Diceros bicornis minor: one gene and its partners. The protein of the gene in region 1 interacts with the protein of each later gene in a pairwise test. Links are inferred from orthologs where the notes say so. Each region holds a gene or a part of one and is shown on either strand. Other genes may lie near its edges.

The links.
Region 2: the proteins of TFCP2 (region 1) and ZCCHC12 interact in binary tests that used the Homo sapiens proteins (3 or more experiments, as listed by UniProt). The two-hybrid records come from large-scale screens. The link is inferred for Diceros bicornis minor from reciprocal best matches to the Homo sapiens genes TFCP2 and ZCCHC12.
Region 3: the proteins of TFCP2 (region 1) and ZCCHC10 interact in binary tests that used the Homo sapiens proteins (3 or more experiments, as listed by UniProt). The two-hybrid records come from large-scale screens. The link is inferred for Diceros bicornis minor from reciprocal best matches to the Homo sapiens genes TFCP2 and ZCCHC10.

Annotation. Positions count from the first base shown.
Region 1 is NC_080756.1:18,723,368-18,730,325, reverse strand, and holds the start of TFCP2 (alpha-globin transcription factor CP2), read right to left. Parts: upstream 3,010-6,958; 5' UTR 2,603-3,009; coding exon 2,481-2,602; intron 1-2,480.
Region 2 is NC_080781.1:109,511,255-109,518,444, reverse strand, and holds the start of ZCCHC12 (zinc finger CCHC domain-containing protein 12), read right to left. Parts: upstream 3,012-7,190; 5' UTR 2,843-3,011; intron 2,502-2,842; 5' UTR 2,450-2,501; intron 2,433-2,449; exon of another isoform or gene 2,385-2,432; intron 2,257-2,384; 5' UTR 2,117-2,256; intron 1,710-2,116; 5' UTR 1,601-1,709; coding exon 392-1,600; 3' UTR 1-391. UniProt on the Homo sapiens protein: Transcriptional coactivator in the bone morphogenetic protein (BMP)-signaling pathway. It positively modulates BMP signaling by interacting with SMAD1 and associating with CBP in the transcription complex.
Region 3 is NC_080740.1:52,289,407-52,296,560, forward strand, and holds the start of ZCCHC10 (zinc finger CCHC domain-containing protein 10), read right to left. Parts: upstream 3,012-7,154; 5' UTR 2,993-3,011; coding exon 2,952-2,992; intron 1-2,951.

The sequences.
Region 1 (6,958 bases):
AGTGTGCAATTCAATTGTCTTTAGTGTGGTCACAGAGTTGTGCAACCATCATCACAATTTTAGAACATTTTTATCACCCCCCCCGAAAAAAAACCAGTACGCATTTGCAGTCATGCCCAGTCCCTCTTCCTCCACAGCTCTAGTCAACCACTAATCTACTTTCTGTCTCTATTGATTTGCCTATTCTAGACATTTCATAGAAATGAAATCAGATGTTATGTGATCTTTTGCGACTGGCTTCTTTCACTCAGCATATTTTCAGGGCATTTCCTTTATTTTAACCATAAAGTTTGTGCCATGTATTAAAACATAAGGAAAAAAGTAAGGAGAATATTCAAGGACCACTTATGAAAAGAACTTTACTGAATACAATGGCGGATCAAGAATCAAAAACAGAAATCCAGTTCAGATGAATCTTCATCAAATATAAATTAACAGATATGAAGCGAAACTATTATACCATGTAGCAGAAAATAAGCAAACTAGGGTAAAATAAATACATTAAGGAAAATATTTTACAAAACAAATTGCTTGTCAAAGAGGACATCTTGCCTAAAAAAGGTGTAGGACAAGCGATCACAAGGTCTAATTACAGGAAGAGCAAAGAATCACTGTCTTTGTGTCTAAAAACTGCTCCAGCCAGTGTTTCTCAAAACAGGGTCCCTGGACTACCTGCAGCAAAATCATCTAAGAACTTGTTTTACAAAAATCAGATTTCTGGTCTGTGCCCCAGTCACGGAAAATGGGGCCCTGGAAACTATTTTGAATAAGAACTCCAGATGATTCTCATGAATGCTCAAGTTTGACAACTAATATCTAATTAACACAAATCAATGCAAATGATTAAATGTATGTAAGAGTCAAGAGAAGTTACAAAAGCAAAATGGATGAAAAAGAGGAAGGTGAAAAAAATACTTAAAATTTTGGCACAGTGTGCTCTGGGGAAAACATAAAGTGATATTTGAAAACTCACGCGGATTTGATGATGGAAAAAAATTCTAAATGTGTACATATGCAAGCCATTCTACTAATACCTGTGAAGGCCACTCAGGGTATGACACAGGAAAATACAAATGTAAGGTTGCGTGGTAGAGAGAGCACGTAGTAGATGAGCAAATGTTTGCTGACAATGTTAACTATTTTTATAACAAGTACAGTTATATTTAATTATCTCCAACCCAAAATCCAATAACCTAGACAAAACCAAACTTTTTGCTGTAGTAATCTTTACATGAACAGCATAAACTGTCAAATATTATGTCAGATAACTGACATGCAAGCTCAGGGCTGGGACATTTACTTTCAGACCAAGTTAATCTCTATTTTTATGGTCAGACTTACGTAAACAATGACAGGCAAAACCAGAGTTAAATTCCTCAAGACTAACAGCATTGCATGATAGAACTCAAATTTCCCTAAAAATCATGAAAATATGTATACAAGGAGAGCCTTTATTATCCTAACTGTAAGCAAAGATTTCTGAAGATGAACTATTAAGTTCTAACTCGTAATTTTACTTCAGTGAGGAAAGTCGACTTTGGTTTAGCAGGGATAAAGAAAGGAAGTTTCAATTACATAACTCTCAAAGGACCTCACTATCAGATGCAGAATTTGTCCTCCATAAAAAGCGTCTTTCCCCTATAAACCCATAAACTCAATTAAAGTGTTAAGTTGTAACATCTCTTTTGACTTACTTATTTAGATTAAGCCTTAAAATGCATTTGGAACCCCAATTATATTCCATCTAACCCTAAGATGCTGGTAATTCAACATTTCCAGACGTGATTCTTGCACATCCTATAAATGAAACAAACTGCTGGGGGAATGAAATAGCTAATGCATGCAAATAAATTACACGGGAAGTTATGCTGCTTTCAAAGGAGACTTTTATTTATTATCAGCATTTAGCTTGATATACGAAGGTCTAAGCATCTAAAAGTTCTCTATGACACTTTTTCATTTCACAGCTTATGTTTCAAAAATCAGAAACCCTAGAACTAAGTAAAGTCTTAAAGTAGGCTAAAATACGGATGGGTGAACTTCTTCACCAAGGTCTCACATTTCCTCACAAAAAGCAAACAATTTTCACTAAGCCTACCTCCCAACTCCCCAACTCCCTAGATTTCTCTCACATGCTCAGTTTGGCCTCCTCTTCACACAAGTCCAGCCCAACCCATCCACACACACCATCAGTCTCCAAGTCTCCCACACCGGCACAACAACCTCTCATCTGGTTGCTAATCCAAGGCCCTTCTTTCTTCGACTTATCTTGCACAGACTTGACATGCCTACAATCTCTTGTTCCATTTCTTCCACAACAATCACTACTCAAAGCAACCTAAGAAACAAGTCCCTTTTCCCTACCCGCAGACAGCTTCTTTAACTCTATACACCTCTTTTTTTTTTTTTTTTTTTTTTCCTTATTCTCTATCCTGCCTTTGTTATTCAGAAGGTGCAGGGTCTGGGAAAATCTCACTCACCTCATGCTATAGGCACCAGCACCCAGTTCCTGGCCGATCCCGGAGAGACTAGCATCAAAGTCCTGCACCAGCCCGGATTCAATCACTTCATCGGCCAGAGGCAGCTTCAGAGCCCAGGCCATCCTGGCTCCTTCGCTGCCCCAGGAGACACCGTTTTCTTGTACAAAGGCGAGTAGTGTGATTCTACCCACCAGGGGCAAGACTGTAGAAAACTCCAAACCAAGATCTCCCACACAGTACCTACCAGCCACCCCCAAGCCCAACCCGCACTGCCCGCACAATCTAACTAACCGCCCGTACCCTTGCCTCCTTGCTCTTGGCTGCCCCGACTGAAAACCCCTCCCACCCAGCTCTCTGGAGCCGCACGAGGGCCCCTTTGCTTAACTACTCCAGACTGCCCAGAGGCAGCCCTGGACTCCCATACTCCCACTCCTTGGGTTCGTGGTGGTCACACTGCTTTCCAAACAGACCAGCAGCGGCACGCGCCGCCTACCCGGCGCTCCCACTCCGCTCTCCCACCTCTCCCCCCGCCCCCTTCCACTGGGAGCCCCCTCCCTCCGGGGACCCGCTCTCCCTGTCCCCTCCAGGCCTGGCTTCCGGTCAGTCCCAAGATCACTTCCGGTCACCCCCGCTCAACCCCACGGCTCTTAGAACCAAATCCAGGTTTCCGCCGAGCCGACTCCCCTCCCTCTGCAGCCCCCCACGGCCTCGACACATGGAAGGGAAAAGTCCGACACCGGCGTGAAACCCAGACTCGCCGAGCTCCTCCACCGCCCGCGGCCCCAGCGCCAACCAATCATGGCGCCCTCTTCCTTTGCCGGTCCGGCGAACGTGACGTCACTCTGCCGCCCGCCAATGGGGAAGAGACGTCGTCGGCCTCGGCAGTGATGATAGGCTAGCTACGACACGGCTTCCCGCCCCCCGGAGATGGGCTGGGCAATCCGGGAGAGGGCCCGGCGTGCGTCAGGTGTCCCGGTTTAAACGTCCCTCCTTGTGGCTACCTGAGTTTTGGCATCCGCTACTTACCGAGTCGGAACCCTAAGGCGTGGGTGGAGCTTTCGCTCTAGGTGTACCGAACCCACACCCAGTCCTGGCGGACGCGTGCTCGTTTCCTCCTGAGATACTCTCTGTCCTTAGACTCACTTCTCCGGAGGTCAAGACTGCTTAAATCCGATTTCCCTTGATCATTTTACTTTCTGCCTTCTTCCTAGTGCATTTGAACAGGAAAGCATGAGATGGGTGAAAGTGTTGTGGTTTTTAAAAGGTAGTGGTCTGGGGGCCTGCCCCTGGCTTAGCGGTTAAGTGCGCGTGCTCCGCTGCTGGCGGCGGGTGTTTGGATCCCTGGGGGCGTACCAATGCACCACTTCTCCGGCCATGCTGAGGCAGCATCCCACATACAGCAACTAGAACGATGTGCAGCTATGACATACAACTATCTACTGGGGCTTTGGGGGGAAAAAATAAATAAAGTGGAGGAGGATGGGCACGGATGTTAGCCCAGGGCCAGTTTTCCTCAGCAAAAAGAGGAGGATTGGCAGATGTTAGCACAGGGCTGATCTCCTCACACACACACAAAAAAAGGTAGTGGTCTAAAGATTGGAATTTGGGCTGGCATCTTCACTTACTAGTTTGGTGACTTCAGAATAATAGCTTCATCTCATTGAGATTTAGCTTCCTCATTTGAAATGTAGGAATAACCATACCTGCACCACCTTCCTCCTTTGGGGATTAAATAATAATGTCCATTGCTTATTGGGCATTAACTATATGGCAGGAACTTTATTACATTATCAGTAATCCTCAAGACAATCTTGTGACTAGAATTATCTTTCTAAAGGTAAGTGTTATGGACCTGATTTTACCAATAAGGAGAGGAGGCTAAGGGCTTAAATTGGCCAAAGCTAAATTGGTGTGCCAACTTCAGAGTTGATTCCAAAGCCTGACATTTTTCACTACAAGGCATTGCCTATATGTGAAAGTATTGGTTCATTGTATTCCACTACTGAATTTTTTACAATCTACCTTGAATTATAATTTCGTATATATCTGCCTTTTTCTCTAGACTGTGATCTCCTAAAGAATAGGGAATAAGTCTTCTTCAGGCTTGTGTTCTTAATATCTCCTAGTATAGTTCCTGCATTCAATAGGACTTTAAAAAATACTTATTGAATTTAAAAAGGAAAGAAAGAGAGGAGAGAGGTTGACATGAAGTTGACAGCATACCCCCAGTTTCAGCTACAGTCTTCTCTCTTTGAGGGCTCTAGTCTTACCCATCTTCTTACCTTAATAAGCTCTGGCATCCAAGTCTTGGCAAAATCCTTTGTATTCAAGCAGTGTATCTAGAGTATTTTAAAACATCTATTAGGTGGAACCATGCCTTGTTTGAACAACAGCTCTGTCACTAGATGCATAATCTTGGGCAAATAACTTTACATCTCTGAGCCTCAGTACTTTAATCCATAAATTAGTGAAAATAATACCTCCTCCTAAAATTGTGAGGATTAAATGAAGTGCCAAGATGCCACAAAAATAATAATTATTCAATAAATGTTAGCTCCTGTCTCCTACTACCCCATTTCCACTTCTCTGTTAAGATTGGGTTGGTATTATCATCCTATTTAAAAACATTAATTTACATTGTATGGTGTGTTATAATTTTGGTATCACTTTAATGTATATTTAATTAAAACATAATTAAATATGTCTTATTTAATCCTCATGAAAGCGTTTGTTTTGTTTTTTTACTATGCAGAAACTGAAACTAAGAGAGGGAGAGTGTTCAAGCAGACTGCAACCTCTTTAGAAACCATCCTGAGAATTATTCTGTGATTCAGCGACTCCACTCTATATATGAACCCTAGAGAACTCTTGCACATATGTACCAGGAGACTTGTATGAGAATGTTCATGCCAACACTATTTATAGCAACAAAACAGAACAAAACAAATGTCCACCAACAAGAGAACGGATAAATTGGCGTGGGATAGAAGATTATACAGCAGTAAAAATGAATAAAACTTTAAAAAATGAATAAAGCTATACTCAACCAAGTGAATAAATCAATCTTAGAAACGTGGGGGAAAATGGGGAAGTCCTCATGCAGTGTAACATCGTTTTATAAAGCTCAAACCCCAGCAAAATTAAGCAATATATCATTTAGGGAAATATACACACATTCCTTTAAAAAAGGAAGGAAGGGGCCGGCCAGGTGGTGTAGTGGTTAGGTTCAGATCCTGGGCGCAGACCAACGCACCGCTTAACAAGCCATGCTGTGGCAGCGTCCCATATAAAGTAGAGGAAGATGGGCACAGATATTGGCCCAGGGCCAATCTTCCTCAGCAAAAAGATGAGGATTGGGAACAGAAGTTAGCTCAGGGCTGATCTTCCTCACAAAAAAAAAGGGGGGGGGGCGTGAAAAGATAAACAAGACTCTGTGGTGGCCACATATAAGAAAATGTGGTGGGGGTGGTGGGGTGCTGGTAGAGGAGGAACTCAAAAGTAGCTTCAACAGTGGTAGTTAAGTTGAGTGGTGGTGTTACGAATTTCACCTCACTCACACTCAGAGGAGCTCCAAGGAGGGGCCCACATGTGGGCCCTGTACCCACAATCTGTCCCTTCCTTGAAGGGTTCTTTCCTATTTGGTGTCGCAGATGTGAAATGACATAGAAGCTGAGAGGTCAGCGGCACAAGCTTTGTTCAATGGTCAAAGAATGGAAAAGCGGGACCTAAGTTCACAAATCCACTTGTCAGCTCCTGGGGTGATTAAGCAGCTGTTATAAGGGGTCTAGGTAATGAAGGGGAGGAATATTCATAGTTATTTGGGGAAATGGGCAGGCTTTTCTGGGGAGCGAGGGTGCCTCCTCTTTTCTTATTTGGTTATATCCTGCGGTTGCCATGGCAGTTGTAAACTGTCATGGCGTCGGTGTGTGTGTTCTGTAATGTGGTAATGTACTATAATGAGCATATGAGGAGCTGTGGGGTCTATGTCAGGTCAAGTCGGACTGCCATGTTGCCTTCAACCGGTTTTAACTGGATTTGACCTATGTCTCAGCCATCTCCTCCTTCCTCTCTTTGTGGTTTCCTGTAAGTTAAAGAGAACGTGTTAGGCTTGTTCTGAGCAGGGTTGTGGTTAACGCCTTATGAGGTCAGTGGGCCAGGTAACAGTAGATCTGTGAGTTATTATTTGTTTCATCATTTTGCTTCATAAATTACCCAAAAAGTGTGGTCTTGAATATGTAACAAATATTACGTAAATTAGCAGCTGAGCCAGGAACTACAGTCCAGGTCCCTGATTCTTATAGCTGAGATCTGCCTACAGTGATGCCTCCCTGCTGGTGGTACAGTCCTAGGAACTGTCCAGACACAGAGCAAATAATAGCTGATAATAATGACAGGCCCGTATCTACTGAGCCCTTCCTAAGTGCCAAACCCTGACTAGGTTCTTTACGTATATTATCTCATTTCATCCTCACATCACC
Region 2 (7,190 bases), on another chromosome or scaffold:
ACATAGGTATAGGGAAATATCTAGAAGAACATTCATCAAAGGGTTGACAGTGGTTCTATAAGGGTGGAAGGTTTGTACTTTTGTACTTTTCTTTATTGTTGGAATATTTAACAATGAATTGTATCACTTTCACAATGAGAATAAAGCCATCAAGGAAATGGGCACACAGAAAAAAGACTCTTAGGCAGCGGGGGAGGAGGGGTGAAGAGAAAGGACAGAGGTCAGCCCATCTCCCTCCACTGTGCTGGTATCCAAGACTTTTCTCCTCCACCCCAAAAGACAGCACCTTTGTGGATTAATTCATGCAATTAGAAGCACCCCCCCCCCCAGTTTTCCCATTGCTGGACTCTGAATATGGGTTAGGGTTCATTTAAGGCTGGAGGCTAGCTCCTCACTGTGGCTCAGAAGGATCATCGGGTTCGCCAGGGGCCTCTCTTGACCCCTCCTCCTCTGTATGTGTCAGCTCCTGCAGGGTGATGATCAGATTCTCAAACACCTGGGCCTTGTTGCTCTCATTGTCACAGGTTTCCTTTGAGTGGCCCTCCTCGCCACAATATGAACAGCGGATTGTGAATTTTCGCTTTCTGGCTCTACGCATATCCCCAGGACCATCATTCTTGGACCCAGACCCACCACTGGTAGAAGGAGATTGAGCCCGGGAACTGTTGGGGGAATCAATGACTAGCACTGGATCCTGAGGTCTGGCCCTGCATCTGGGGGGAGGAGAACTCAAGAGTGAAAGTGGAGGGTCCTGAGACTCCACTAGGATCACATCCTCATCTGAGTCATCGAGGGTATCATCTATCTCTATCACATTGCAGTTAGCACTGCCGCTCTCTATTGGTGGGGAGCCCTCAAATGCCACTGGGCTGGTTGCTCTCTCCACCATTGACTCAGATCTCTTGGCCCGCTTCTGTTTCATAAAAGTGTCATCCCAATCCTCTTCCTCCCTTATCATCTTGATTAACTCCAGGAAATTAGGAAGACGCTTCTGCTCATTTGCATACATCCTGAGAAGATGCTTCAGCCTGAAGCGCAGGTCCCCATTCAGCTCAGCCCCTAAAAGGAGCTGCTGCAGGCGAGTCTGGTTTGCATCTTTCTCAGCTATGACCCCTGCCTGAATAGCATTCTGGAGCTGCACCTCTAAACGGATCACATAAAGGGAGGCTTTCTCCCCTTGTGCCTGCAGAGTGTTAAAAAATTTACCTTGAGCAGTCACACTGCTTTCAGACTCCCCAAACACCAATTTCATGGCGCGCAAGAAATCTGCCACACTTAGGTTGGGGTTGGCCGCCTGGAGCAAACGCATGACCTCCCGGGCAGGGCCCCTAAGGGTTTTCATCAAGCGCTTGAGCTTTTCCTCCTCAGACATATTCCAATCTGGCAGGACCCCGTTGACCTGGATCAGCCAGTTTTCAAAGGTTTCTTCCCCCTGCGCTGGCACCACCCTCCCAGAGAACAACTTCATGTTCTTCTCTGCCATGTTGGCCATTAAAGGACCAAGACTCCTTCCCAGGGACCTCAGCATATAATGAGCCCAAGGCGGCAAGGGTGCCTTCTGCTGCCGGCTATTACCCACGCGTGCAATGATGCTGGCCATGTCTGACGATGACTGGGTATGTGAATATAACAAGATGTTCAGGCTTTTTGGAAAAGCCTAATCTGCAGGTGTGCCGGGGGTCAGTGCTTTCATCCAATCTCAGTAGAGACTGTAAAAAAGAAAAAAAACGGGAGGAGGGGTTAATAAGGGAACTGGCCGCAGCCGTATTCTCTCCCTTCCTGAATATCCTCCAGTACGTTTTATATCTGCCCACTGCCCTAAAAATATCCTCCTGGAGACGGGCAATTGCATTTTCACAGAGCCAGCCGGTGTCTCCGGGTGCTTTTACAGCCACAAGCATCCCCTCCCGCCAGTCCTTCAAGAGGCAACTGTTGCTTCTAACTCTAAGTGTAATAGTGTATGGAGCTGACATTGGGCTCTCAAAATAGAGCACAATGGGCACAGCTTTGTGGGAATAAATAAGATCTCATTAACCTCACGGTCTCAGGTCTCTACCACACCCCCTTCTCCAAGTCCGTCCACCCCCCCCCCCCCCGTTATTTCGCAGATTCTTACAGGAGCTCAGGAACAAGCGCGCGCCTTTATTTCACTTCCAGCCTCTGCAACCTGTGGCCTCCATGAGAAAGCTCGCCTCCAAGGTACAGTCGACCTTTGTCCACCGGGGGTCGCCGATCCCGGACCTCCGAGCGTCAAGACTGCGACGCCGCGGAGGGGAGGGCAGGGCGGGGGAGGGAAGGGTCAGAAGCAGCCTCATCCCGCTCCCTCCCTCTCCCGCGCCCCCCGTTGCCTCTGCTGTAGCCAGGCGGAAAATCCCCTCTCCCACCTTTTGAATACAAGCCAAAACGACCCCCGCCCCGTTACATTTCCCCCGGGAAACCGTCGGCCTACCAGCTCGGCAATCAGCCGCACAGAATTCAAGTTGGGATTCGGCGTTGATGGCCTGCCACGGAGAAAGGGAATAGGAGTTGGACACGCACACCTATATTTTCTTCCCCAAGAAGAGATGAGGACCTGCAAAGGGGGTTCAAGGCAGACAGCTTACAATTTCTCCCCCCTCGCCTCTTCCCAACCCGGTAAAATTCCCCCCTCTCAATCCAGGCAAATCCTACCCATTGGGCAGCATCCACTGGAACCCCACCTCCTCCCTCAGCGCAGCCCGGCCAAGGGAGTGCGCCTTCCTCTGCCTCGCAGTTCTCGATTCCCCAAGCGGGGAGCCGCCCAGTCCTGGTGGGGCTTCCCCCTCCTCTCTCCGCGCCGGGCAATCGCGCCCTCTTTCTTTACCTGTGCTGGGCCGGTGGGTAGCTGACACTTCCGCGTTGACAGCCGTAGATTCCTCCTCCGGTCTCCGCGGCCCTGCAGGGGAAAAGGACCGGCGCCTCTTTGGCCGCTAAGCGACCTGGGACTGCCGGGCGGAGCTGCTCCGCAAGGCCGCCCAGAGAGGGGTAGCCGAGTCGAGGCAGCACGGTTCCCACGGCAGCCGCCGCTGCTTTTATCCTCTGCCCACTGAGACAAAAGAGCGTGACGAACAGGCCAGCGCGGCCAATCAGCGGGGCGCGGAGGCGGGGTCCCCGGGCAGCCTCGGGCCAGTTGCAAATATACACCAGAGGGGGTGGTGGGTGGGCAGCAGGTTCTTGGGGTGTCAAGTGCAGCTTGGTTGCACCGACTGGAGGAGTTTGCGACTCTTCCCTTCTCCCTCTCTCCCTTGGTTCAACTCCGCGCCTTGAGGCCAGGTGCATTAAACACGAGGTGCGATCGAAATCAAAGTTCTTCACCTTTGTATAGGGGAAGGGGATCAGAAAAAGAGCATTAGAGCTTTCTTGTGCAAAAAAAGTCTTTGTGCAAACAGGCTTGCACAGACATCTCCTCTTTTACTGTGAAGGAGGCGGCAGTATGTCTATTTGACATTGAGGTGAGTTAGACACCCAGGCTGGTAACCAATATTCCCTAAAGTAGTAAGGCTGCAAGGCTGGCTGCGTCAGAATCATTTTGGGGAGCTTGTTAGAAATGCAGATTCCTGGAGGATTCTGATTTACTAGGACTAGAGTTGGGAGTGTGATTTTGTATTTTGTATTTTTAAACAGCTCTGTAGTTGATTTTGAGGTGTGGAGAGGATGTGGAATAAGTAAATGGACCTCCCTCCAATGTATCTGTTCACAGCATATCTGTGGTGAAATGCAATTCCAGAGGAGATGTTCCTACCTGGGACCATGATCTTCCTGAAATTGTATGCAAAGATTTTGGACTCTTTAGGAGGCTGAATAATGGTCACCCAAATATATCAAGTCCTAATCCCTGGAACCTGTAAATGTTAACTTATAAAGTAAAAGAGTCTTTGCATATGTGGTTAAATTAAGGATCTTGACATGGGGAGATTATCCTGGATTATCTGAATGGGCCCTAAATCCAATCACAAGTGTCCTTATAAGAAAAAGGAGAGAGAGAGCTGATGCACACAGAAGAGAAGGTGATGTGAAGACAGAGGCAAAGGCATGCTGGCAGCCACCAGAAACTGGAAGGGGCAAGGAACAGAGTACATCCCTGCCCATACCGTGAATTCAGCCCAGATAAATTGGTGTTGAACTTTTGGCCTCTAGAACTATGAAAGAATAAATTTCTCTTGTTTTAAGCCACCAAGTTTGTGATAATTTGTTACGGCAGCCATAGGCGACTAATATAGACTCTGTATTTTTCTGAGTCCATAGCTTTGTAGATTTTTAAATGGGTCTGTGGTTAAAAAATCTTTTTTCGTTAATACCTTCCTCCTTCAATTTGTAGTTGTGAAAGAAGTGTGAGGAATGAAACAATTTGACTAGATCCCTGAACCACAGCTCTCTGCTGCTGATATAGCTCTTTCATTTCTCGACTCGAGGAAAGGTTGATAGGTTCCCCTTCTGTGAGCTTTTGAGGGGACCTCTCCTTTGCTGCATTTGGCATCACTGGCCCCAGAGAAGGAGCAACTCCATGGAAATGGCATGCAGGGCTGTCTGGAGTGAATGAGCCATGAAAGCAGTGGCTCCATGTATTAGTTTGCTAGGGTTGTCATAACAAAGTATCACAGACTGAGTGGCTTAAACAACAGAAATTTATTTTCTCACGGTTTTGGAGGCTGGAAGTCCAAGATCAAGGCGCTCACAGGCCTGGTTTCTCCTGAGGCCTCTCTCCTTGGCTTGCAGATAGCCGCCCACTTGCTGCCTCTTCACAGGATCGTCTCTCTGTGCGCTGGAGTCCCTGATGTCCAAATTTCCTCTTCTTATAAGGACCCCTGTCAAATTGGATTAGGACCCACCCTCATGGCCTCATTTTAACTTAATCACCTCTTTAAAGGCCCTATCTCCAAGTATAGCCACATTCTGGAGGTACTGGGAGTTAGGGCTTCCACATATGAACTTTGGAGGGACACAACTCAGCCCATAACACTCTATTTTCCCTTACTGGGAACACTTACTGGGTTATGGGAAAGCATGTCTTCTTTCCCTCATATAGAATGTGGCTAGGAGGTCCCTGTGGAGATTTTGGGGGGTCAGGGTGGTGGTGGCATGCACTGCACAAGTGGACTTCCCAAGTGCAAAGTTGTTGCTGTTGCTTGTTCTTCACTGCTGATGCTTGGAAGCAAGTGAACAGTCTAATGCCCTTCAGCCACTGTTGGGTTCATCTTTAGCCTGCCAAGGTAATTCACCTGCTCCTTTCTGCTTTCTTATTTCCAGTCTCAATACTTAGAACTCCTTAGAGTAGACCGTCCAAATTTGGAAACGAAGTACTTTCCATCTCAGGACTGTGGCCTTTCTCTTGTGGATGGAACAGTGGGGTGGTGGTGGTGGTGAAGGGTGGTGGAGGTAGAGAGAAGGCAGGTTGGTCATCTTGCAGAGTCAGGGATGATGCTGGCATTAGCTTATTTGTTACCTTTAGACTCTTCCTTTGACTCCCCAGTGCTGTGACATATGACCCTGACCTCTAATTTAAATGGCTTCATCACCAATCCAGGTGATCTGCAGTTGGACATGGTGGCATCAAAAAAGACAAAGACTAGACCTCAGAGCTCTGACAAAAATGTTGAAAGGCAATGGATTGTGTATCAGGTGCCTGGGTTGGGTCATTAGCACAAAGCGAAGGTCTCTCCATGAGGGGCTGCGAGGAGATTTGCTAAGCTGGCTCCAGTTGGATATTGAGCATCCCTTATCTCTGGCCTCACGTTGCAGGATGTCAGGGGACACTTCCAATTGCAAAGATTCAGACTCTGGTGGCTCTAAGGAGGCCACATTTTATTTTCCAATTGCAAAAATATAAAATTTAAAAATGTGAAAGTTAGGAGCTAAAGCTTTCAATTGAAACCATAATGGCTACCTTTGGCTGCCTTCCTCCTCTGTTTCAGGAATTTTCCATCTGTTATCTCATTTAAACACCTCTGGCAACTCTATTAAGATAGACGTTGTTCTCCCATCCAAGGAGCTGAAGGCGTGCAGGCACTTCACACTAGGGCTCTGACTCATCGGAAGTCAAAGCTTGGATGGGGATGCTTGTGGGAGATCCTGCCCATGCTAAGCTGGGACCCCAAGGACGGCATCTTTCACGAAAATATTCAGCAAGAGGGTGAAATAAAGATATTTTTAGACAAACAAAACCGAAGAGAGTTTGTCACCAGCAGACTGCACGAATGGAAATTCTAAAGGATGTACTTCAGGAGGAAAATGATCTTTGAAGAATGAAATGCAGGAAGGAATGAAGAGCAAGGAAAGTGATAGTATGTGGGCAATGTAAGTGAATATTGACGGAAGAAGGAATCACAAAAACATCTATTCTGTTTTTTAAAAATAAACTTAAAGTACCATACAATAACAAAAGACATCAGGAGGAGCATAAATGGAGTTCAACTTTTCTAAGGCCCTTGTATTATATCGGAAGTGATTTAGATATTTATTAAATTTACACTTTGATATGATAATTATGCATGTAGGAATTAATAGGATGTAACTATTAAAATAATAGCAATAGGATGAAAATTTCCAAACTAGTAGAGAGGGAAAATAATTGAATAACAGAAAAATATTCTCAGTTTTTTTTCAAAAGTCAAGAAAGAAGAAGTGAAAGAAACATAGATGGAACCAATACAAGCACAAAATAAATGGTAGTTTGAAACCCAAATATATCAGTAATTTTATTAAATGTTTATGAGCTAAATGCTCAAGTTAAAAAAAACAAATATCGGGGCCGGCCCCGTGGCTTAGCGGTTAAGTGCGCACGCTCTGCTACTGGCGGCCTGGGTTTGGATCCCGGGCGCGCACCGACGCACCGCTTCTCCGGCCATGCTGAGGCCGTGTCCCACATACAGCAACTAGAAGGATGTGCAACTATGACATACAACTATCTACTGGGGCTTTGGGGAATAAAAGGAGGAGGATTGGCAATAGATGTTAGCTCAGAGCTGGTCTTCTTCAGCAAAAAGAGGAGGATTAGCATGGATGTTAGCTCAGGGCTGATCTTCCTAAAAAAAAAAAGAAAAACAAATATTGTCAAATGGGATTAATAAATACTCGCATATGCTATTTGAGACAAATCCAAAATATAAAGATAGAGAGGTTGACAATAAAAAGATGGAGAGAGATAAATCACACAAATAGTATATAAGTGATAG
Region 3 (7,154 bases), on another chromosome or scaffold:
TCTTGACAGGCTGGAAATTAGTGTCGAATCTAACAAGATGAAATTTAACAAGGGTAAAAGTAAGTCGGACACAAGTCCAGAAAACCAATACAAATACAAGACCGGGGAAGCTTGACTTGAGGGCAATTCAAGTGGAAAACACTTAGGGTTTTTAACTGACAGAAATTATAGCTTAGGTCAAAAGCTGGGACGTTAGAAGGCAGCAGGTTTAGCTTCATCAATATTATTTTCCTTTCAGCTCAATATAAACTTTTTGATAAATTTGGAAAATGAAACAGGCTACTTCAGGAGGTATGTCCTTACTGGAGGTCTTCTAGCCAAAGTTAGATATTACTCTGGATACTGAAGAGAGAGCAGTAGAATCCAGCAGAGGGTTTAGCAGAAGAAACGACCCCAGATAGTACCAAGATTCTACAATCTACTCACATATGAGTAGATGTAATTACAATTTAAAAAGTGAAAATAATCTCATTTCGATTGATTTAAAGTTAAGTGCCTGAAAGATCTGCTGAATGGGGAGTTCAAATTTAAGCTCTCTCTTTTTTTCTTTTATTTCCCTCTTTCCTCTATTAGTCCAAAGACTTAAAAAGAATGACAATAGTGCTTTCTCATTTCCCATAACTTAAAAAGTTTAAAATTTATTATTACGGAAGTAATATATACTCCTTATAAATAAAATTAAACCTTTTTGATGAATATAAAATGAAAAGTAAGGCCAGCCCTGGTGGTCTAGTGGTTAAGGTCGGCATGCTCCACTTCAGCAGCCTGGGCTCGGTTCCCGGGCATGGGCCTTACACCACTCTGTTAGCAGCCATGCTGTGCTGGTGGCCCACATACTAAAAAATAGAGGCAGACTGGCACAGATGTTAGCTCAGGGCGAATCTTCCTCAGCAAAAAGAAAGAAAGAAAGAAAGAAAAGTAAAGTCTCCTCTTCTGTTTCCCCCCCCCCCCCAGATATTCCCAAACTCTCCTGGACTCCCCTAGCCTCTAAAGGCCCTCCCTCTCTGACTCCCTAGGGACTTATATAGTCTGTATACCATGACACTTTTTATTATACACCATATGTTTTCTTCCCAACAAGATCAGAAGCTCCTAACGCTAAGATTTGTCTTTTACTTCTGTGTAGCTCCTGTACCAAATACAGGCAGATTGCAGAAACGGAACACCTGTTCAACTTTCTAAGACTTACAAAACAAGAAATGGTGCGATATTCTTTAGGTGCTAAAAGTCTCACTTTCACTTCATATTTACAGTGCACATTGGTTGGTTCTGCCAATCCAGCATTCATGACCTCCTCTGACCTACCCACCCAGCTCATCATTGGTTTATAGAGATCCATTCAATTGTGCTGGGAAGAGAACTAGATCTAAGTCAATCAGAGCTTCACAATCTCACAGACATGGTTTAGGGTTGGGCATGTAACCCAATCTAGATCAATGAGATGCCATCAACCTGAAGCTGAGGGGATATACAGGATCCTAGATACTGCAGCCATCCTGGGACCAAAGGAGTAAATCTATCTAAGTATGGAACCAACACCCAAAAGGGCAAATCTGAAAGTTAGACCGTGGTGACGTCATTTAGCATGCCCATTAAGTATTATCATCACTCCATTCTTGATCTCAGAACTGTCTGACTTCAAAGCCTTCTTCCTCCACCAAGCATACTACTCTGACCCCAAGTCTTTATCCTTATGCTCAACAAATTCTCCTCATCAGGCATGAGAGGTAGAGTGGAATGGAGCGAGAAGAGAAGGAACACGGATCTTAAGATAAAAAATATAAATATAAAAAGAAATATAACATACATATATATGCTAGCAGACTGTGAGCAATATATTATAGGCGTGTAAATGGTGATGATATGAAATGCTGAGAGAATGAAAAAGTGACAGACATTGTTTGGGTGTACAGGTTGGCAGAAGAAAAAAGGCTTTATAAGAAAGGGGCATCTGAGATGACTACCACATTATCTGACCACAGCAAACTTCTGTGCCACTCTCTCACTCATTAGCCACAATAGCCATCTTTCAGTTCTTAAAAACTAGGCTCTTTCCTGCCTCAAAGCAATTATGCCACTGTCTGGATGCTCTTTCCCCAAATCCTCTCATGACTGGCTTTCTCACACTTTTGATCTCTGTTCAAATGCCACCTCTTCAGAGATGCCTTTCCAGTCCAACCAACTTAACTTGGGCCTTTCATTTTTTCCATCACCTCTTATTTCCTTCAAAGCTCTTATCACCAACTGGATTTACTTAAAATGTTTAGTTTACCGATTCTTTCCACCACTAGAACGTAAGCTCCCTGAAAGCAGGAATTATGTCTTGAACACCTCTTTTTCTTTAGATCCCAATTCTGGCAGGAAGCAGCAGGCAATGAATAAATTAATATTTATTGAAGAAAACGAATGGTAGAAAGTGAGACTACAGCTTGTGAGAAAAATCGGCGTTGTAGTCGGGCTGTTCCCGAGGAACAGGCGAGAGGAAGTGGGTAGGAAAAGCCAGCGGGGCTGGAGGTTGCTTAGGGAGCTGAAGGTTTACGTCGGCGAGAGTCGGGGGTGTCGGATCAGGGCTTCAGTCTTCTCTTGGCTACGAATGGGGTGGCCAGGTGGGTGGCAGAGGGGCATAAACCACTTACGGACCAACTCCTGGGCGTCCCCTTCGTGAGAACCAAACGCGAGGCTTTCTTCAGACACCCCCTAGATCCTGCACCGCGGACCTTACGCAGCCGTAGTTCACGAAATCGCTACCCCATGGGCACCAAACTTATCGCCCGGGCCCGAGCCCGAGCCCCTTAGGAGCAGGCAACTTGCGAGAAAAAACGGCCACCCTCTGCCGCTCCCTACTGAGGATCCCACGCCGGCCCGGCATCCCGGCGCCCGTTCACCCGCCGGCTGACGCGCTTCTCCCCGCCCCCAGCCCGCCCCGCAGCCCGACTCCGGCCCTCACTTACGCTCGTCTCCGGGCTATGAGCCGATGCATGGGAGTCGCCATGTTAGCGCGGCTGAGGCCTGCCGCGCTGCATGCTGGGAAACCCCTCGGTGGGGGCGGGGGCTTCGAACCCGCCGGCCACAGGCGTGGGCGGAGCCTGGCCGGCGTCTCGGGCCTTCGGGACAACCTTTGGGGCTAGTAATGGGTGGGAGGCTGGGGTGTTGTGTCTGCTGTGTGGGTCTCTAGGTTGAGGAAGAGAAGTGAGGCCATTTGTCCAGCCTGTACAGGGTTTTGAAGGATGGGTACGCGTAAATTGAGTGGAGAGGCAGAGAAAAACATTCTCAAGTGAGGGAAGTATATATATTTTATGAATATATAGTCATATATATATGAATAAAACTGTGCAGTGTTCAGAAAACTAGAAGTAGTCTGGAGAGCAAAATAAAAAGGAATCAGTTGGGGCCAGCCAGGTGGCATAGTGGTTAAGTTCGCACACTCTGCTTCAGCCGCCTCCGGTTGGCAGGCCCAGATCCAGGGCACGGACCTATGCCCTGCTTATCAAGCCATGCTGTGGCAGACGTCCCACATATAAAGTAGAGGAAGATGGGCATGGATGTTAGCCCAGGGCCAGTCTTCCTCACCAAAAAAAAAAAAAAAAAAGGAATGAGTAGAACAGGATTGGGACCATCAACTGAAAGACTGACTTTAGCAAACCATAAAGTGCAAATATATGTTAATTATTTCTATTTTTATGTATTTCATAGGGATTTTACAAGAACCAAATGAGACTAAGTAAAGCTGCTTTGTCAACTGGGAAAAGATTAGACAAATATATATATATTTTTTTTAATTTTATTTATTTATTTATTTATTTATTTTCCCCCAAAGCCCCAGCAGATAGTTGTATGTCATAGCTGCACATCCTTCTAGCTGCTGTACGTGGGACACGGCCTCAGTATGGCTGGAGAAGCGGTGCGTTGGTGTGTGCCCAGGATCCGAACCCGGGCCGCCAGCACCAGAGCGCGCGCATTTAACCACTAAGCCACGGGGCCGGCCCTAGACAAATATTAATTATTTTAGGATATTTTAGCATTTAGTATCAGATCATGGAGATTTTATTCCCTTAAATCCACGTTCTTTGAACTATATATAACTTTTTGAAATATATATGTGTGCATATTTATGAGTCCCCATTCATTTTTTTCAATTACTGTTTATCGAACACCTAAACTGTTTTGGGAACTGGGGATAGAGCACTGAACAAATAAAGTCCTTGTACACATGGAGCTTTCTAGAGACAATAAACAAAGGCAATGTCCAATGAACATAAATACTCTGAAGAAAAATGATTCAGGGTAAGGAGGTAAAGAGAGATTTACCATTGGGAGCTAGAGAAGGTGATGTCATGTGACCTTTGAGCACATCTTGTTCTTAAAAAAATGGAATCTTACCAACTATTCTGTTCTTCAGTTTGCTTCCTTCATTCCTCAATGTGCTTATGGACATCTTTTCCCATATCAGCACATACAGATCTAATTCATTCTTTTTATGTATTACTTTATGTAGATTATATGGATATTCCACAATTTATCCAATCAGTGCCCTATTGTTGAACCATTAGACCATTTACCACAAAGATGGAATGAATGGATTTTTAAGCGTTCACCTATGTTTCTGTAAGATGACTTCCTTCCTAGAAGTAGAATTGCTGGGTCAAAGGATATGTGTGCTTTTAATTTTGATATATATTACCTATTGTCTTTTAAATAGGTTGTGCAACCAAATCCTACTTTCTCACCAGAATTGAGAATGGTCAAACTTTTAAACTTTTGCCTATCTAATAAGCCAATATGATATATTATTGGTGAGGTTAAATACATTTCATATGATTGTTGAAGACTGTACTTCTTTCATGAATTATCTGTTCAAATTCTTTGCCTATTTTTCTATTGGATTTTTATCTTTTTAATATTGATTTGTAGAAACTTTTAATATTTTACATATAAATGCTGTTTTATATTTTACAAATATTTTTCCTATTTTGTCTGTTGTGTTTTAACTTTGTGATCATTTACCCTGTACAGAGGCATTAAATTTTTGTATAGGCATTTTTAACAATCTTTTCCTTTATAGGTCCCTAGATTTGGCTCATGCTTAGTATGGCCTTTTATGTCTAAGATTATTCTTTTTTCTGAGGAAGACTGGCTCTGAGCTAACATGTGTTGCCAATCTTCGTCATTTTTTCCTTTTTTTTTTTCTCCCCAAAGCCCCAGTAGATAGCTGTATGTCATAGTTGTACATCCTTCTAGTTCTTCTATGTAGGATGCTGCCTCAGCATGGCTTGATGAGCAGTAAGTCCATGCCCAGGATCCGAACCGGGGAACCCCAGGCCGCCAAAGTGGAGCACTCAAACTTAACCGCTATGCCACGGGGCCGGCCCCTATGTTTAAGATTATTAAATTTAGGGCCGGCCCCGTGGCTTAGCGGTTAAGTGCCCACGCTCTGCTGTTGGCGGCCCAGGTTCGGATCCCGGGCGCGCGCCGACGCACCACTTCTCTGGCCACGCTGAGGCCGCGTCCCACATACAGCTACTAGATGGATATGCAGCTGTGACATACAACTATCTACTGGGGCTTTGGGGGGAAAAAATAAATAAATAAAATCTTTAAAAAAAAGATTATTAAATTTTTTTCTTGTATTTTATTGTAATTTTTTAATTACAATTATGGTTATATTCTTAATCCTAATTTTTAGTTTTTGAAATACCATTTACTAAATAATCTATCACTTCTTTACTGATTTGAAATGCCAGTCTCTCATGTACCAAATATGTACAAATTTAGTTTGTTTGGACATTCTATTTTCTTCCAAAGATGTATTTGTGCCAGTATTTGTTTCATAGTTTTAATTTCCATGGTTTTATAGGATATTTTGATATCTGATAAGGCAAGTCCCTCCTCATTAATCTTTCTTTCTCCTCAATTTTCCTTATTGCTCCTAGGCATTTATTTTCCTAGGTGAGCTTTATTCTCAAATTTTCAAGTTTCCCACAAAATAATACTCAGATTTTTTGCCAGCTAATTTTAAAAGAAACTGCATTATAGCAAATGTGAAAAGGCAAGAGACAGAATGAGATATAACAAATCGAAAGGAGGAAGCAATGACATTATTTGTGATGATTTGGTCGCACACCTGGAAAGCCTAAAGAATTAGTTAAGGGGCCGGCCCCGTGGCGTAGTGGTTAAATGGGGGTGCTCTGCTGCTGGTGACCCGGGTTCAGATCCTGGGTGCACAGGGACACACTGCTTGTCAGGCCATGCCGTGGCAGTGTCCCACATAAAGTGGAGGAAGATGGGCATGGATGTTAGCCCAGGGCCAGTCTTCCTCAGCAGAAAGAGGAGGATTGGCATGGATGTTAGCTCAGGGCTGATCTTCCTCACAAAAAAAAAAAAAAAAGAATTAGTTAAAAGCTTCTAGAGGGCCGGCCACGTGGTTTAGCGGTTAAAGTGCGAGCGTTCTGCTGCTGGCTGGCCCTGTCCGGATCCCGGGCGTGCACCGACGCACCGCTTCTCCAGCCATGCTGAGGCCGCGACCCACATAGAGCAACTAGAAGGATGCGCAGCTATGGCATACAACTATCTACTGGGGCTATGGGGGCAAAAATAAATAAATAAAATTAAAAAAAAAAAAGCTTCTAGAGAGTTCAACACAGGGGCCAGACACACACACACACAATACGATAACAACTTGCTTTTTCAGTGGCAAGACCAAGTCAATATAGCTGTTTCCCATTGAGGCCCATGAGCTTGAGGGACCCTCAGCTTTGTCCAGAGGACCCTGGCTAAAATTCAGATGCTAAATTTTGTAAACTTTAATGAGTAGAAGCTGAAAAAATTAAAAACTCTTGTGAAAGCTGCAAGTAATTTCTCTCTGGCGAGGATGAACACTTTTTTTTTTTTTTTATAATTGTATTTATTTATTTATTTTCCCCCCCAAAGCCCCAGTAGATTATTGTATGTCATAGCTGCACATCCTTCTAGTTGCTGTATGTGGGACACTGCCTCAGCGTGGCACTGAAGCGGTGCATCAGTGGGCGCCCGGGACCCGAACCCAGGCCGCCAGCAGTGGAGCACGCGCACTTAACCGCTAAGCCACGGGGCCGGCCCTTCGCGAGGATGAACACTTTACCAGTCTTTAAGCAGACTATTCCTTTATTCTAGGAAAA